Diceros bicornis minor: one gene and its partner. The protein of the gene in region 1 binds, or shares a complex with, the protein of each later gene. Links are inferred from orthologs where the notes say so. Each region holds a gene or a part of one and is shown in the gene's direction. Other genes may lie near its edges.

What was found.
Region 2: the proteins of FZD4 (region 1) and NDP are in contact, whole or in part, in a crystal structure (PDB 5BQE), measured with the Homo sapiens proteins. The link is inferred for Diceros bicornis minor from reciprocal best matches to the Homo sapiens genes FZD4 and NDP. Residues at the interface, in NP_036325.2 of Homo sapiens: Ser51, Met52, Gln54, Asn55, Leu56, Gly57, Gln95, Phe96, Met105, Thr107, Lys109, Ile114, Asn152, His154, Met157, Cys158, Met159, Glu160, Gly161, Pro162; in NP_000257.1 of Homo sapiens: Asp33, Ser34, Pro36, Arg38, Met40, Arg41, His42, His43, Tyr44, Val45, Asp46, Lys58, Met59, Val60, Leu61, Lys102, Lys104, Leu106, Tyr122, Leu124, Ser125.

What each region holds. Positions count from the first base shown.
Region 1 is NC_080746.1:45,769,976-45,778,047, forward strand, and holds the start of FZD4 (frizzled-4), read left to right. Parts: upstream 1-5,005; 5' UTR 5,006-5,170; coding exon 5,171-5,455; intron 5,456-7,546; coding exon 7,547-8,072. UniProt on the Homo sapiens protein: Receptor for Wnt proteins.
Region 2 is NC_080781.1:38,280,732-38,287,981, reverse strand, and holds the start of NDP (norrin), read left to right. Parts: upstream 1-4,210; 5' UTR 4,211-4,239; intron 4,240-7,250. UniProt on the Homo sapiens protein: Activates the canonical Wnt signaling pathway through FZD4 and LRP5 coreceptor.

The sequences.
Region 1 (8,072 bases):
AAATATCTGGGCAGATTCATGATATAGAGAAATAGGCTTCTGAATCAAACAACAATTTTGGCTAAGACATTTTTCTACCTTAAAAGATTTAAGAATCAGCATAGTAAGACAGAAAAGGAAGATAATTATTGGCAACACATCCAAGTTCAGAAGACAGCTGAAAGCTGTTTTATAGAAGTGGCTTAGAGAATAGACTTGACCATCATTCTGGGGCCAGTTAGGTTGTATTTTGGTGGTTGCCTCTACCCAGCACATAATGCTCTCTTTTTCTGAAGAATTAGAGCACTTATAGCCTGAACCATTCCTTTATTTATTCAACAAGTATCTAGTGAATATCTTCTATGGGTCAGGTAGTGTTTTTCTTTGCTGTTCAGGAACACAGTGGTGAAGAAGACACACCTCTGACCTCAGAGATTGTGAAGGAGACCAAAAACACCAAAAACAAAAACAAAAAAACAAACTTATTTTACAGTAAGGGAGCTCAAGATAAAGCACTTAACTCTAAACAAGCTCTTTCGTGCTTCGTCTCATGTCTTAATCTCCTCCAATGTGACTGCAAGCTCCTGGAAGGCGGGGACCACCTTTTATATGTGTGCATACCTCCTTGTATGGGAATGGCAAGTCCACAATAACCCATCACTAAACATTTGTTAATGGCTTGACTGACAAATACTGAAATGAAATGAGGTCGTGGAGGTACAAAGCGTATTGGCATTATTTTTGGCCCCCTGCAAAGGTTCTTGGTTGCCCATTTGTGCATTAAACAATCACCACCAACAAATAAGAATGTCATATGTACCATCTTATGCTTGGTAGGAGGAACAACAGGGCTTTGATTCCTTGACCCGCAAGAGGTCTGTGGTGACTTGATTCTTCTCTGCTGGCTAGTGGCGCAATGGGTAAGAAGGGAGTTTGGCTCTGCCACTTATGAGCTATTAATTAACCTCTTGCGGACTCTGATTCCTCAACTTTGAGCAAGACTAGCATTCCCTTCCGCTTTACCCAGCACACGTTTTTGTTTTGTAACTAGTTCGGGTGCAGGGGAAGGTGGAGCACCCAGACTATCTATAAACTGATGGGATACAGCATGGCCTCTCCCTATGCTTCTGTTGTTTCACAGTCAATTCTCAATCTTTATGAGGTTTAAGTCCCAGTGAATTTTCCCCTCAAAAACCAAACAGGATAATGAACCACTTTCTTGCAGTTTCCATCAAGACAACTCTTTGTGAGTTCTAAATGTTCTGTCCAGATTCAAAGAAGCTGGTTTCTTCATGAGTGGTTGGAATAAGACTTTTCTTGGAAGCTACTGAATATGGATTAGTTGGATTGTTTCGCAGGAAATAAAAAGCAGGCTCTGGGGTGACTACTTCAGCACTTAATTGGGTTAGCAAAGAACTGCAAATGAGAGGTTTTCCTCAGGAGGGAAAAGATGTTTACGGCCCCCCACCCCTCTAGGTGGTGGATTTTAACCTAAACACTAGTCTTCAAATGCAGCCTTTAATTTAGGAACCATTATAAGAATCTATTAGAGCAGAAAATGTCAGGTTGAAAAATTAACACATCACAGGAGTTAATTAGAACCCAGCCTCTCATTAGATGCAAATGGAGAGCCCTCCAACTGCCCAACAGCCTGCTGGAGTCATGTTTGTTGCAGCTCCAAAGTGGCTGTTATCCTTACTTTCAGACAGTGGCCAGAGGAATGTGCCCAGGCAGTCCTGCCAGAGCCACTAGGGGTCCCTGGCCTGCCTTTTAGGTTAACGGAATGTCCTATTCACGTGTCCCTTCTTCTACTCCTCTCCTAAACGCTCTGCATGTTACAGGGTGGACAGACCTCTGCCTGGAATTGCCTCAGGGACGTGTTTTCTGCAACAAAGACAAACATGCCATGCCTGTCACTGGGAGCAGACTGGTGACTGTGTAAACCACTCTGAGACAGGGAGGCTGAGGGGCTCCAGGCCATTCAGACTTAGCTCTGAGTTGTGGTCTTTGTTTTCTTTCCACATTCAGACTGAAATGTGATTCCTCTGGCTTTCTTTTTTGGAAAATACCTGCAATGAGTTCCATGCCGGAAAAGAAAAGCTGTTGACAGGAAAAGCTTCTGACGGGGAAGGGGCTTCTTCAAGTGTTCTCAAAGGAGACAGGGGCTTCAAGGAAGCTGAGGCAGGGATGCCAGGGCTGGGAACAAGAGGTCCAGATCACAAAAGGGTCGTCTTTAACTAAGGATTAGGCTGAGTGTCAAGCAGTTTCCTCTGTGAGAGCAATACCACGCAGAGACTTTTGGGCCAGGCAGACATGCATCTGAGCCCTTCTCTGTCACTTACTGTGTGATCCTGGGGAAATTGCTTAACCTCTTAGAACATTAGTTTTCTCAAGCTCTTGCATGTGATAGATGAGATAATGCATGTAAAGCAGGTAAGACAGTAGCTGGCACAGAGGAAGGGTTCTATATGAGTTATTTGTTATTGATTTAATAATAGTATTCCTTCACCCAACACTAATGGTTTTCCCTCTGTGTGCCAGGCCCTGTGCAAGGGAAAGCTCTTGCTCCTTGACCTCATGGAGTTCACTGTTTAATAAACCGTGTACACATATGTTTAGCACAAAGCAAGCCCCCCTCCCCTCCTCGCAAGTGCCCTGGGAGAAGAGCCCACTGCACATTAATTCTGCTTTGTTGAGTAGCTCAGAATCCTACAGGTCATCCCCTTGGAGCCGCCCTCCAAACCCAGCTACCTCTACCTTCAATTTATCCACAATTCTCTGTGCACTTATCACATTCAGTTCCAGTTGTCTGTTTCTTCTTTGTCTCCTCCTGTGAGTTCCTAGAGGGTGAGGATCATCTATTCACTTGATTCAGTCATCTAATCATTTATTTATCTTTGTAGGCCAATAGTCTCATGCATTACTCAGCACAGGCATACAGAAGATTCACCCCTACTGCTGAGTATGTAGATTTCCAGCTGGGAACTTTTCTGGTGAAATAACCCTGCCCCCATCTTTGAAAGGCCTCCTTTGGGCCCTGGTTTGGTTGGTCTTTCATTTTCTAAGTATCACTATGGCTCAAACCTCAGTTTCTTCATCTCTTTAAGGGTGAGCTTCTTTTCCTGGGAGGTTATGATGATGGCTGGAGACAACGCAGCTTCTATGTGCCCAACACAGTTCTAGGCACAGAGCAAAATTACCAAAAAAAGTTGATTCCATTCTTGCCCTCAGCCAAGTCCAGCTGCCAATATAAGAAAACTAAAAATACAAGACACATATAAGCACTACATGAGTGGTGCAGACATCCTTCTAACTTGTATCCAGCCTTTGCCTTATGCCAGACTTGGCTGACACGGGAGGATACAAACATGCATAATAACTTGGTCCCTGTCTCCAAGCCCCAGGAAAACAGTGGCAAGTGTTGGACAAAAAGATCTCAGAAGAGAGTAGAAAGCTCTTTACCCAGATCCTCAGACCTGGGCTGCAGGAGATTGGAAAGCAGGAAAGCAGGAGGTTGTCCCAGAACAACAACAATATCTAAGTTATTGAGCACTTACTGTGTGTCAGACACTCTGCTAAATGATTTACTGGCATTATCTCACTTAACTCTTAGGCCAACTGTGTTGGGCAGTCATACACTTCCTTATTTTACAGATGGCCAATTTGAGGCTCAGAGAGGCACAGTAGCTTGACCACAGTCAAGCAACAAGTAAATAGCTTAGGAATCCACCTGTCGAGGGTTTCACTGGCCCAACTGGAAAGCGGAGAGGGCACACTGGCACAAAGCTCCGTCCGAGGGGTGGGGGTGGGGGAGAGGGCTGGGAATGAGCGAGGCGCGAGTTGGAACAAAACACGGGTCGCAAGATCCCCAGATCCCCAAAACCCTAAGCAGAAGCAGAATAAGTTAGAAAAAGATGCAGGCTGCAGGGGAGGGTTGCCTGGGGGCTGGGGGAGGGGAGCCCCGGCGGTTATGCGCCTTCTTCGCCCCCGGTGCACAGGTCAAGCGTCTCCCCTCCCGCCCTCTCACCCTCCCAACCTTATTTAGAAACCGTGTCCCCGAGACAGGAAGGGCGGCGGGCCGAGAAGCACGGAGCGTCCCGGTCTCATTTCCTCTCGAATCCCCCTGTGGAATTTCATTTCATACGGTGAGGAAATCGGAGCGCGAGACCGTCGGCTGCTCGGCTGCTCCGGGGCGCCTCCCCCACTCGCGGCTGGAGACCTGCAGCTCCCGGGCGCAGGTCGGGCCGAGTCTGGGGGCGGGAAGAGGGGGCCGGGCTCCAACCCTAGCAAGTTAGGAGTGAAAATAGCTGCGAGCTCGCGCGGTACCAGGCACCGTGCTCAGCGTTTTGTGCATTATCTCTAATCCTCCCAAGTCACTTTACGGGTGAGGAAACTGACGCCGAGAGGTTGAGCAAATTGCTCAAAGTCACACAGCCGGGATTTAAAGCCACAATCTTTGTCAATCCAAATCCAGTGTTCTTTGTGTAGGATAGGGATACGGAGGTGGCCACGGGCCGAGGTGACAGCTGGAAAACGGAAAGGGAAGCAAGCCGACTGATCTGGGAGCACTTCTCACCTGAAAGAGGAGGGCGCAAGCTACCTTGGCCGGAGCGACTGGGCTCTATCCCAGCGCGGCCCCTGAGCGCCGCGAACCCGGTGGGAGGAAAGTGAGAGCCGGGAAGCGGGGCGGGGCGCTCCGGGGAGGGGGGGGGGAACGGAGGAGGGGGGCCGGCGGGTGGCGGCCTGACCCTTCCAGCGGCGGAGCGGCCCCGCCCCTCGCTGCCCACGGTGCCCGGCCATTGGAGGGGCGCGCTGTCCGTCCCGCCCCGCCGCCGCCCAGCGAACCTCCAGCGCCGCGGAGGGCTCGGGCGGTGAGAGCGGTGCGGCGCTGGGTGCTGGCGGGTTCCGCCGAGACGCCGAGCGGACGCAGCTGGCGCTGGGTTGGGGCTCGCCGCTTGCAGCCATGACCCTCGTAGTCTGTCCGTCGGCCCCGGCCCGGGGCGTCTAATATCCCACACAGACGCGCGCAGCTGCCGGAGAGCCGGCCGCTGCCCCCTCGTCGCCCTTGGTGCCTTATCACACTCCCCTTCTCGGAGCTGGGAGCAGCGCGGGCAGCCGACGCCCCCGTGCAAACTGGGGGTGTCTGCTGGAGCAGCCCCCGCCGCCGCCGCTGCTGCCCCCGGCTCTGGCCATGGCCTGGCGGGGCGCGGGGTCGAGCGTCCCGGGGGCGCCCGGGGGCGTCGGTCTCAGTCTGCGGCTGCTGCTGCTGTTGCTGCTACTCCTGGGGCCGGCGCGGGGCTTCGGGGACGAGGAGGAGCGGCGGTGCGACCCCATCCGCATCTCCATGTGCCAGAACCTGGGCTACAACGTGACCAAGATGCCCAACCTGGTGGGGCACGAGCTGCAGACGGACGCCGAGCTGCAGCTGACAACGTTCACGCCTCTCATCCAGTACGGCTGCTCCAGCCAGCTGCAGGTGGGCACCCCACCCCCACCCCTGGCGGGACCCCCTGGGCAGGGACGCCCCAGACTAACTCCGTGGAGGCCTTGCCAAGTCGAGCCCTTTGCCCCCTTCCTAGACTAAAGGGTAAAACTATCCTGGAAAAGTGATTTCCATCCCCACCCCCACTTTTCAGTCCTTTCTCAGGGACTGGAAGCCAAAACGTTGTGTAAGTCGTCTGGCCTGCGAAAGAACCCACTCGTACACCCGCCCTTCCGTTTTCTCCCCTGCCCACCCGTGTCTGGCCAAGCCCCTAACCCCAGTGGACCTGAGGGTTATCTTTGCCAAGGATTCTGGCCGCCGCCGCTCGGTGGGCGAGTTCCCGGCAGGGCAGCCAGCTGCAGCTAAGACTTGGAAGGAGAGATAAGGAGACGAGAACTCCTCCTCCCTCACCGTCCTCCCTTCTCTCCCATATTTTTGGGTGGGTTATTAAATGAAACACCACTGCCCGGTTGTCTGCCGAATGGCCCCTCCTGGCGTCATCCTGCATGATTTTAGAGGTCATGCAGGAAGCAATGGTTGAATTGGCTTGAGTTCGTTCTTATCCTCAGGGTTGAGGGCAGGTTTTGTTACTTGGAGGGGGAGACAACTCAGCTTGGGAAAAAGGTAATGTTTATGGACAAGCTTCAGGAAGGTAGTTTGTGTATTGGGAAGTTTTTTTTTGCAGTCATTAAAAATTTTAAAGATTATGTAATGACATAGAAAATGTTCATCCTACAATAATAAGTGAAGAAACAATTTACATATACAGGGTGATTATAATCTTACAAAAACAACAACCAATTCATTAAAAAAAAAAAAAGAACTGAAAGGAAATTTGAAAAGTTTAACACTGGTTGTGTTTTGGTTAGTGAAGGTAAGAGTGATTTTTAGAAATTTAGAAAAGAGAGGTTGGGAAAAAAATAGAAGATAGTTGTCCAGGCTAAAAGCTTCAGAAATCCGTGGTTCTGGCTGTTAACTTCTGAAAGATAAGAAACAGGCAGGCAGCTTACTTACTAGGTGCATGTTTTTACACACGTCATTTTAAAAGTTGGATTGTGGTTTCAGAAAGATGGTTGGGATTAGACCTGTTGCTGGTGAACTCTCCCTTTGGAAGTTTCAGAACTTTAGAACTAGGTTATAAAAGCTTAAGAAATGATCCTCTAGCCCTCAGTTTGGAAACAGCACATATCCTGACATCAGTTGCAATTTCGTTGGAGAAACAGCCTTTGCAGGGATATATATTTTTAATTACATGTATCCTGGGGAAGCAGCCAAGCTGTTTTGAAGGACAGGACTGGATCCCTTTACATACTGGAAAATAGTTACTTGTAACTCTAGACTTCATAGACAACATCTGTAAGGAGCCAAGCAGACTGTTTATCAATGCTGGAGGAATTGAGGACAGCAACTGGACTCTCCCCTGCTGGTAGTGCAGTTTCAGGGACTTAACATTTATATTTTCCTGTTGTGCTTCATTGAGAAAACCTGGCCAAACAAGCCCTTGGTGACTGGAGACCTCAACCTGCCTCCCATCCTTGGGTCTAACAGTGTCTCAATTAGGACGTTTTCTGTTTCGTTATGGGACTGATTAAAAAATAATTTTAGGAGATAAAGTAGAGAATATTAACAGGAGAAAAGGTAGATCTACATTTTTTTTCTTATGGTGATAAAGAAATGGGGATAAAAAGAAATCACCTCATCACCGAAATGACTGAGTCACTTAATTAGTCTGTTCAGTTCTTCCAAATAGTAGCTGAAAGGGGAGGGTGACTCAAAGTGCGTTTTTTAGGTTTATTTCCTTAAGTGTTGTGCAGAAAGGTATTATGTAATTCTTCAGGTCCTTTTTATGCATGTATTTATTTATGTTCTCCTGGAAAGGATTACTAGAACCAAAAGAAGAAAAGTGTGTAAGTGATGGATTATTAGGCACCCTTGTTGGAGGTCACAGTAAACAGTCAGACTCTCTATAGGCTGGTTTAAAAGTAGATACGTACTTTGCCTGGAAGCGTTCAGCTCAGCTTTGTGCAAGTGTTTGGTCAGACTTCCAAGTCATTGTTTTCTTTGTTCATTTCATGACTTTTCCAGTTCTTCCTTTGTTCGGTTTATGTGCCAATGTGCACAGAGAAGATCAACATCCCCATCGGCCCGTGCGGCGGCATGTGTCTTTCAGTCAAGAGACGCTGTGAACCTGTCCTGAAGGAATTTGGATTTGCCTGGCCGGAGAGCCTGAACTGCAGCAAATTCCCGCCACAGAATGACCACAACCACATGTGCATGGAAGGGCCGGGTGACGAGGAGGTGCCGTTACCCCACAAAACCCCCATCCAGCCTGGGGAAGAGTGCCATTCCGTGGGAGCCAATTCCGATCAGTACATCTGGGTGAAAAGGAGCCTGAACTGCGTTCTCAAGTGTGGCTACGATGCTGGCTTGTACAGCCGCTCGGCCAAGGAGTTCACCGATATCTGGATGGCAGTGTGGGCCAGCCTGTGCTTCATCTCCACCGCCTTCACGGTGCTGACTTTCCTCATCGATTCTTCCAGGTTTTCCTACCCTGAGCGCCCCATCATATTTCTCAGTATGTGCTATAATATTTATAGCATTGCTTATATTG
Region 2 (7,250 bases), on another chromosome or scaffold:
GAGAACAACATCTGACAGGTAGGAAACACTTAAAGAATATTTGTTAAATGAATGTATGAATAAATGAAAGTACCTATTTGCATCCCTGCCATGCTACTTCTCTTCGTTCCTCGGCCTCAGTTGTCTTCTTCCACTTACATAACCTCTCCTTTGCCTCAGACTGCCTTACCACCCTATTCTCTCCTTCAATCTTGTCTGGCTGCAGCTCCTAGCCTGGCTCATCCTCTGCTCACCTATCCTCCTGGATCACGTAGTTTAGGTTTAGGCCCAGCCAAATGTCTGATTATGTGTTGCTCCAAAAACTCACCCTTGTCCTCTGGTTCCCACTCTTGCCTTCAAAGCTCAGACCCAGTGGAATTCTCCTGGACACATCACCTCTGATCTTATCATATCTTTTGCTTTTCTTGTGGCTCTGATCACATTTTACCTTGCAGTGTCTCCATTAAGAGAACATTTCTTTTTTCCCTACTGTATCATAAACACCTTAAGATCTGGATCCATGTTCTACCTTTATTTGTACCCCTGACAAATAGCAGATCATTACTATAAGAGAGTTGCTCAGTGAGTTTCTGTTGAATGGGGGCAGCACGGCACAGTGGCTAAACCATGGCCCTTTGGAGTCAGGAAAACCAGAGCTCATATTCTGCCATTTGCTTGCTGTGTCAACCACAAGGAAGTCACTGAACTTTGCAGAGCCTCAATTTCTCCATTTATAAAATAGAGAATAATAGTATTTACCTTATAGGATTGCTGTGTATCTCTCTAAAAGAGACAATACATATAGAATATTTGGCATAGAGTCCAGCAGAGAGTAAACACCCATTAAATAGTTGATATTATTATGAATAGGTATTTTTGGATGAAGACTATCATATTCATGAGGATGATAAAGATTAGTATTCTCATAGATAATTATAAAACATGCCTAGCAGACTATGCTGGTATGTTGGGATTTTACACACACACACACACACACCCCTACACACACACACGATGTTTGTATCCATGTACATATGATGTCAAATAGTACTGTTTTCAGTGGGCATCTTGATAAGTACTTATATATAAGAACTATGGATCTTTTTATATACCCACATAGGAATTTTCTACTTTTGAAATGTTATAGCAGAGACTATAGCAGACTGACATTGAATCTAAAAACATCTGTTTGTTTTGGAAGGTAGCTAGGAGGAAGTAGAGGTTACATTTACATTCGTATGTTAATGTTGTTAGTTTGCCTAAATTTGGAAAATGTAGTGTTCAGGTCAGGACTCCTGGTTGCCAACCTCAAAAACTGTCTCTAGGTAATTAAAGCAGAAAGGAATTTATTGGAGAGATCTTAGTGGGTGTGGTGATGGGGGGCAGTTCACAGAATCACCAGGAAAACGGGAGAGCCAGGCTTATTAAATGATGGTGAACATGGATGCAGCCAAAAAGATCAGACTGCTAAGGATGCCTTCTTGGATCCTGTGCCCCCAGGACACCCACTGTCACATGGCTGGGCTCTGTTACCCCCGACATTGGCCACTGTAACCTCCAGGCTCTCGATGCCAATGCGCCCAGAGGGAATAACCTCTGACTTTCCGCATGCCTTGGCCACTCCTCCTGGATGGCATATCTGGTGAACCTGGCTTGATCACACCTGGGTCTCCAGCAGCCCTGAGGAGGGGAGAGGAAACAGCTGCTCCTTTCAGGTTCCGCAGGGAGGAGACAGAACCTGCCTTGGAATTACCCAGCCCTCCAGGGGTGTTTAGATGCCGGGCGAGTCCTGTAAATATCCACTAGAGCTACCAAGAGAGAGGCAATCTGAAAACAGTACCAGAAATAAAAGGTTCAGGAGTGGTCCCTTGAAGGATTTCCCATCCAGCTGACAGACATCTCCTTCTCCAAACTTTTTCCACCCTGAGTGCATATGAGATAACAGCAGGAGTATTTTCATCCCTTTTTGCATAGATAGAAATTTAAAGGGAGCCCTTCTTTCTCAGCAATGTTAATGATGGCCAGTAACCACGTGTGGCACAGTAACCTTTCTAAAAAGCATGGTGATGTGATGAAAAGAGTTACTGTTGCCAGATACCTATTGGTAGGCTCAGAAACAAGTCCTCTGGAGCCCAACGGGCGGAGGCAAAGCCTCCCTCTTGAAAGGGGCAACAGATGGTATTCTTCGCCACCCCTGACAGAATAACGGCAGGAGGAAGCAGTGGGGCTCCATCTGGGAGAGATCCTGTCTTCTGTGGCCAAGCAGTCAATGTGTTTGCAATCTTTACACTTTCTGTGGTGCTCTTGCAGAAGGGGAGATTGTAGAAGGCTGGAAAATTCCAACCAGGAAGAACCACACCTTTTCATGTTTCTTTGGAGCAGATAGAGTGACTCTGAGAACCCAAAGGCAAAAGATAGCAGGGTGGAGTGGTGAACATATGTTGAGAGAGCCACAAATTATTTATCGGGAGAAATGAAAAGGTGGATGGACGTCAAGCTCTGATACGTGAAAACGTTGGTGGCCAAAGAGTTTATTCTCCTTCCCAATCTGATCCACAAAATTGAGCCAGAAAATGTGTTCATGACTATTTCCATGGCTCTTACTCAGCTACAAGTCATTTCCCCTTTCAGATTATTTCCATTTTTCAGGCCCAATTTCCATTTGCTTTTTGATCTTCTGCTTTTAAGACATTTAGCCAACATCATCGGCCAAGTGCCAGGTTTTCTTTCAAGGCTTTGAACTTGTCACTTATCCTTTATCCTCGTAAGTGGATTCTGTTTGTGACTGGCTGGTCCCAGGTAGACAGGATTTTCCCGGTAGAGCAAAAGAAAAGAGGCTTCTTATTAAAGGGTGGAGGTAAAACTAAACATTTTAAGACGCCTCCTGTAAACATCAATGACTGTTTGGACTAAAGATTCCGTGGAAAAGTAATAATGCGATTATCAATTTATTAATAAATAATAAATGATGTGATACAGCTGAACATAGTTTCAGCATCAACAATTATATTGGGCTCCCGAGAGAAATTTCTTCTTAAGTTTTATGATATAGTTACTCTTCCGTGAAACATCATTTTTTCATATTCTCAGTTTAATTCTTTATCAGTGTTAATTAAAAAACTTATGTTGGAGCTGGGGCTGACATAAAAAAATTTATAAATGGTTCAGTGGTTCTTTGTGTTTTCCCCCCAAGTTGCTGATGGTTTTCTGTCTTAATTTTAAGCTTTTAAGGGCAAGGATTATGAAATATTTCCCTTTGTATTCCCACAGCTCCTAACAGTATTATCCAGCTAGCAAGCATTTAGACCACACACATAGTTACCTTTGCCATTTTTCTACTAGTTGTAGTGCAGTGGGTTGGCCTTACCTGTTACTCTCACACTCACATGTCTCCAGGAGGCAAGGACTACTGTCTCGGTGTTTCTAAATCAAATCTAAAGTTTTATTCTAAATGATGCGGGCGAAGGTGCTTATTAAAGTGCCGTTGTAGATTTAATCATGGATATGCTGCTAAAAATCATTTAATGGATGAACAACTCAGAAAAGAAGACCTCTCACCACCCATACACATCGTGATAAAATAGGGCAGGGTTTTGCACTTGCTTCAACAGCCTCGCCTGACAAGTAGCTCTGATTCCGATCTTTCTCCTCTCTTACTTAGAATTTCAACTTCATCCCAGTCAGCTGCTGAATCCTTAAACAGAATGTCACAGTCTTTGTATTTCTGAAACTATGTGTCTTTATTGCAGACTGCACATCTTTATGGCAGCCACATGCTTGTCAAAGAATTAAATCCAGAATATTCATTTAGCCCCTTGTTATTTCCATAATACAAAAACAGTGGCGGGGGGCCGGATTTCCTTGCCCTTGTTCTTGTACGTTGTTCCCATCGTAAGATGCTCCGTGGAAGGGAGCCCAGCGGAGGGCAGTGGCTGTGAGTCCCCGATAACTAACGAGCGCCTCACATTTCCGTGGCATTCCCATTTGCTAGTGCGCTGCTGCGGCCGCACGCCTGATTGATATATGACTGCAATGGCACTTTTCCATTTGACATTCTCTCTCTCTCTCTCTCCCTCTCTCTCTCCCTCTCTCTCTCTCCCTGTGTCGCTTAAACAACAGTCCTAACTTTTGTGTGTTGCAAATATAAAAGGCAAGCCATGTGACAGAGGGACAGAAGAACAAAAGCATTTGGAAGTAACAGGACCTCTTTCTAGCTCTCAGAAAAGTCTGAGAAGAAAGGAGCCCTGCGTTTCCCCCAAGGTAAGCAGGAAAACCAGCGCTGACGGCTTGCCTAGGAAATTACTTCTTTCCAAACCGAGCATTTCATCCTCTTCTCAGACAAAGAGACTACCTTTAAATACCACTTAAATTTGCATTAATTTAATTTGCATTAATCTGTAGCATGCTAGCATTGTGTTTTTTAAATGAACGGGTCTTTAAAATCTGTGTCAGAGCAGGGGAGCCTCACAGAGAGGCTAGAAAATCTCTTTTGGTTTGACTTAAAGAGATTTTATTTTCAAACTCTCTGCGTAGTTAGATGTAACTTTGTTATCGTTCTTATATTTGATCCTGGGAAAGGAGACTGAGAAGCAGCAACTTGCCGACATGGATTCCTGGAGCCCCAGTATCTTCCCCACCGCCCTCATCCCTCTTACAATGGGGGCACTATTAACGCGGCAGAGCCTGCGAGTTTAAAAGCGCACTGTTTACTTTTATTACTACTTATGTATGCTGCTGATCTCCTGCCAGGACTCTGCCGGAGTGCTTAGAATGACTTCAAACAATAGGCAACATTTATTTCTAGATTTCTGTGTCACGCTTTGCAGGAATCCTGTTCCTTTGCACTCTTCTCCCAACGTGCAAGGACTTCGCTTCCATAGATGCAGTCAGGAGCAGTGGGGAGAGAGAGGAGGATGGGTTTACTATATGATTTTGATTGGGCAAAAAGTCCGAGGAAATGCATGCTGTTTGCCTTGGCCTTATTGCAAAGGGTTATTTTTAGTAGTCAGCTTGTCCCTGCAGCACCACCGATGCTACACTGTCCAAGCAGTGACCGGGAAAGGATGCTCCCACCAGCCCAGGGACCAGGACCTGTAGGAATGACTCCTACAAACACCTGAGGAATATTCGGAGGGTTCTTTCAAGCTCCTGAATACAAGTTCTCTCTTTAAATGAACAATTAGGCTGTAGGAGGCCTGGGCATAACTCCTTCTTGGGGGACGGGAAGTTTGACTGTGTACAGAATGTTAATGACTCAGAACGCACTGTGACTGAGGCTCATTGTAATCGAGGAGCCCAGATAAACCTGCATGAAAGAGGTAGCCTCCCTTCTTTGCTGAGATTCAGGTGTGGGAAAGGAAGCTATTTGGCAAGAAGGGAGTCCCACGTTCTATTCTTTGTAACTGTCATTAGTAACAGATATGGATGCTGCGAAACATGTCTCTTTTCATTTCTAATATTAGTGTATTTTAATTACAAGGAACTGGCATTGGCAAATTGCTCCAATACATAACATTAAATACCAGATGCATTTGAAAACATAGAGATGCCTAAAATGCAGTGCTGGCTGAGGGTGTCAACCAAATACAGTGGGGACTGCAGAATGCTTCTCAATTGTGCCTTTAGACCAAATGCAAATATCCGCCCACTTTCTTCTCACTAGTCTGGGTTCTGAAAGTAAACTTTAGAGTCCTATTGACCAATTTTCATTGTCGAATGGGGACAGGGTTTATGGGGAACTTTTCTGATTTTCTCTAATAACTAGCCTAATAAGCATTGTTAAATGAAAATCTGGCTTTTGAATGAGTTAATTTACAACGTTGGGATATTCACTGTTCGAGAAAGCCTGTAATAGTACTATGGATTCTATTGCTATACAATTTTACAGTGATTTTTGTTTAAAACTACTGCTGTTAACAAGCCATTTAGCTAAATCAAAATGCAGTGTTTTGCATCATTTGCTTTAAAATACATTTGGTTCAGGTGAAGGGAGAACTGGCCGAGGCTTTCCTGACGCCTGTGTACCCGGCAGCTGACACCCACAGAGGGAAACACGCCTGTGGAGTTTTCAATCTTAATTCCAGTTCCAGTGACACTGTCAAGGGGAAAATAAATCATTTTTCAGTACATTTAACAATTTCCAACTCATTCATTTTCCTGGGCCCTTGAAAAACGTGGTGAGTTTCTTGGAATTATAGCTACCAATGGTGGCCGGCAATTTTTACTGTATTTTAAGAACTCCCAATTCAAGTACTATTATTCTTATTAGTTAATTATTCATTCCCTCATTTTTTTAATAAATTACACTAGTCCTGATGGGTGTAAAGGTGAATGAAACACTGTCCCACACTGTAATTCTCGTCTGTATACTATCTCCAGTTAATTTTGGGAATTGAAATGGACTTTGCCAACGGGGAAGCTGGGCAATGACTTCTGTGTTGTAAGGAATCATTTAAAATATCTGCTGGTACCCAGATTTACTTGAAATGATCATCACTTATCAATGGGTTTTCTCTCCACTTATGATTAAGGGGTTCCTCTTAGGCCTTTATCACTGGATCCTGGGTACATATCACTTGCACAGCTAACAAAACCGGGATCTTTCCCGCCTGGGTAGAAGAAGCCGGGAAAAAGGACAGTTTATCCTTTCTCTGCTCCCTTGAGCACCCTGTGGAAAGGACCACGTGCTGTCTTTATCAGGGATAGCAGTGAGTCACCTCCTCAGCAGCTGACATCAGGGACACTTGATGAATCATTGAATTAGGAACATGCACAAAGGAAGATGCAGTCACTGTCTCCCACCACTTACTTGTCCCACCCCCAGGATCAAAACCAATGACCTCTGGGCCTGGCCTAAACTCAAGGAGCCCCTGGGAAGAAGTTGCTGGAAGTTGTTCCCCAAACTCAGGTCTCCGTCAGAGTCACACACAACGTTGCTTTCAAATAATCCAGGCTTCTGTTTTCTGATGTGGGTAGGTTACTGGGAAAAACCCCTGAAGATAGCATCATCAGGGTCCTTGATTTGGTCCTTATCAGCAGATAATCCCCCATGGTTGGATTAAAATGCCTCTGACTCCCTGGGGTGCCTGACTCACCCGAGCCAGCCCTCAGATTCTTGGCCAGCGGCCTTCAAGTCCATCCTCACCTCTTCCCATGACAGTGAGTTACTGCTACTTTGTCCAGGCCCCCTGGCTGCGCCAGTGAGAGCAGAAGGGATGGGGAGGCAGGTGGAAGGACTGAGAAGTGCTAAAGCAGAGGAGGGAAGCTGGGCC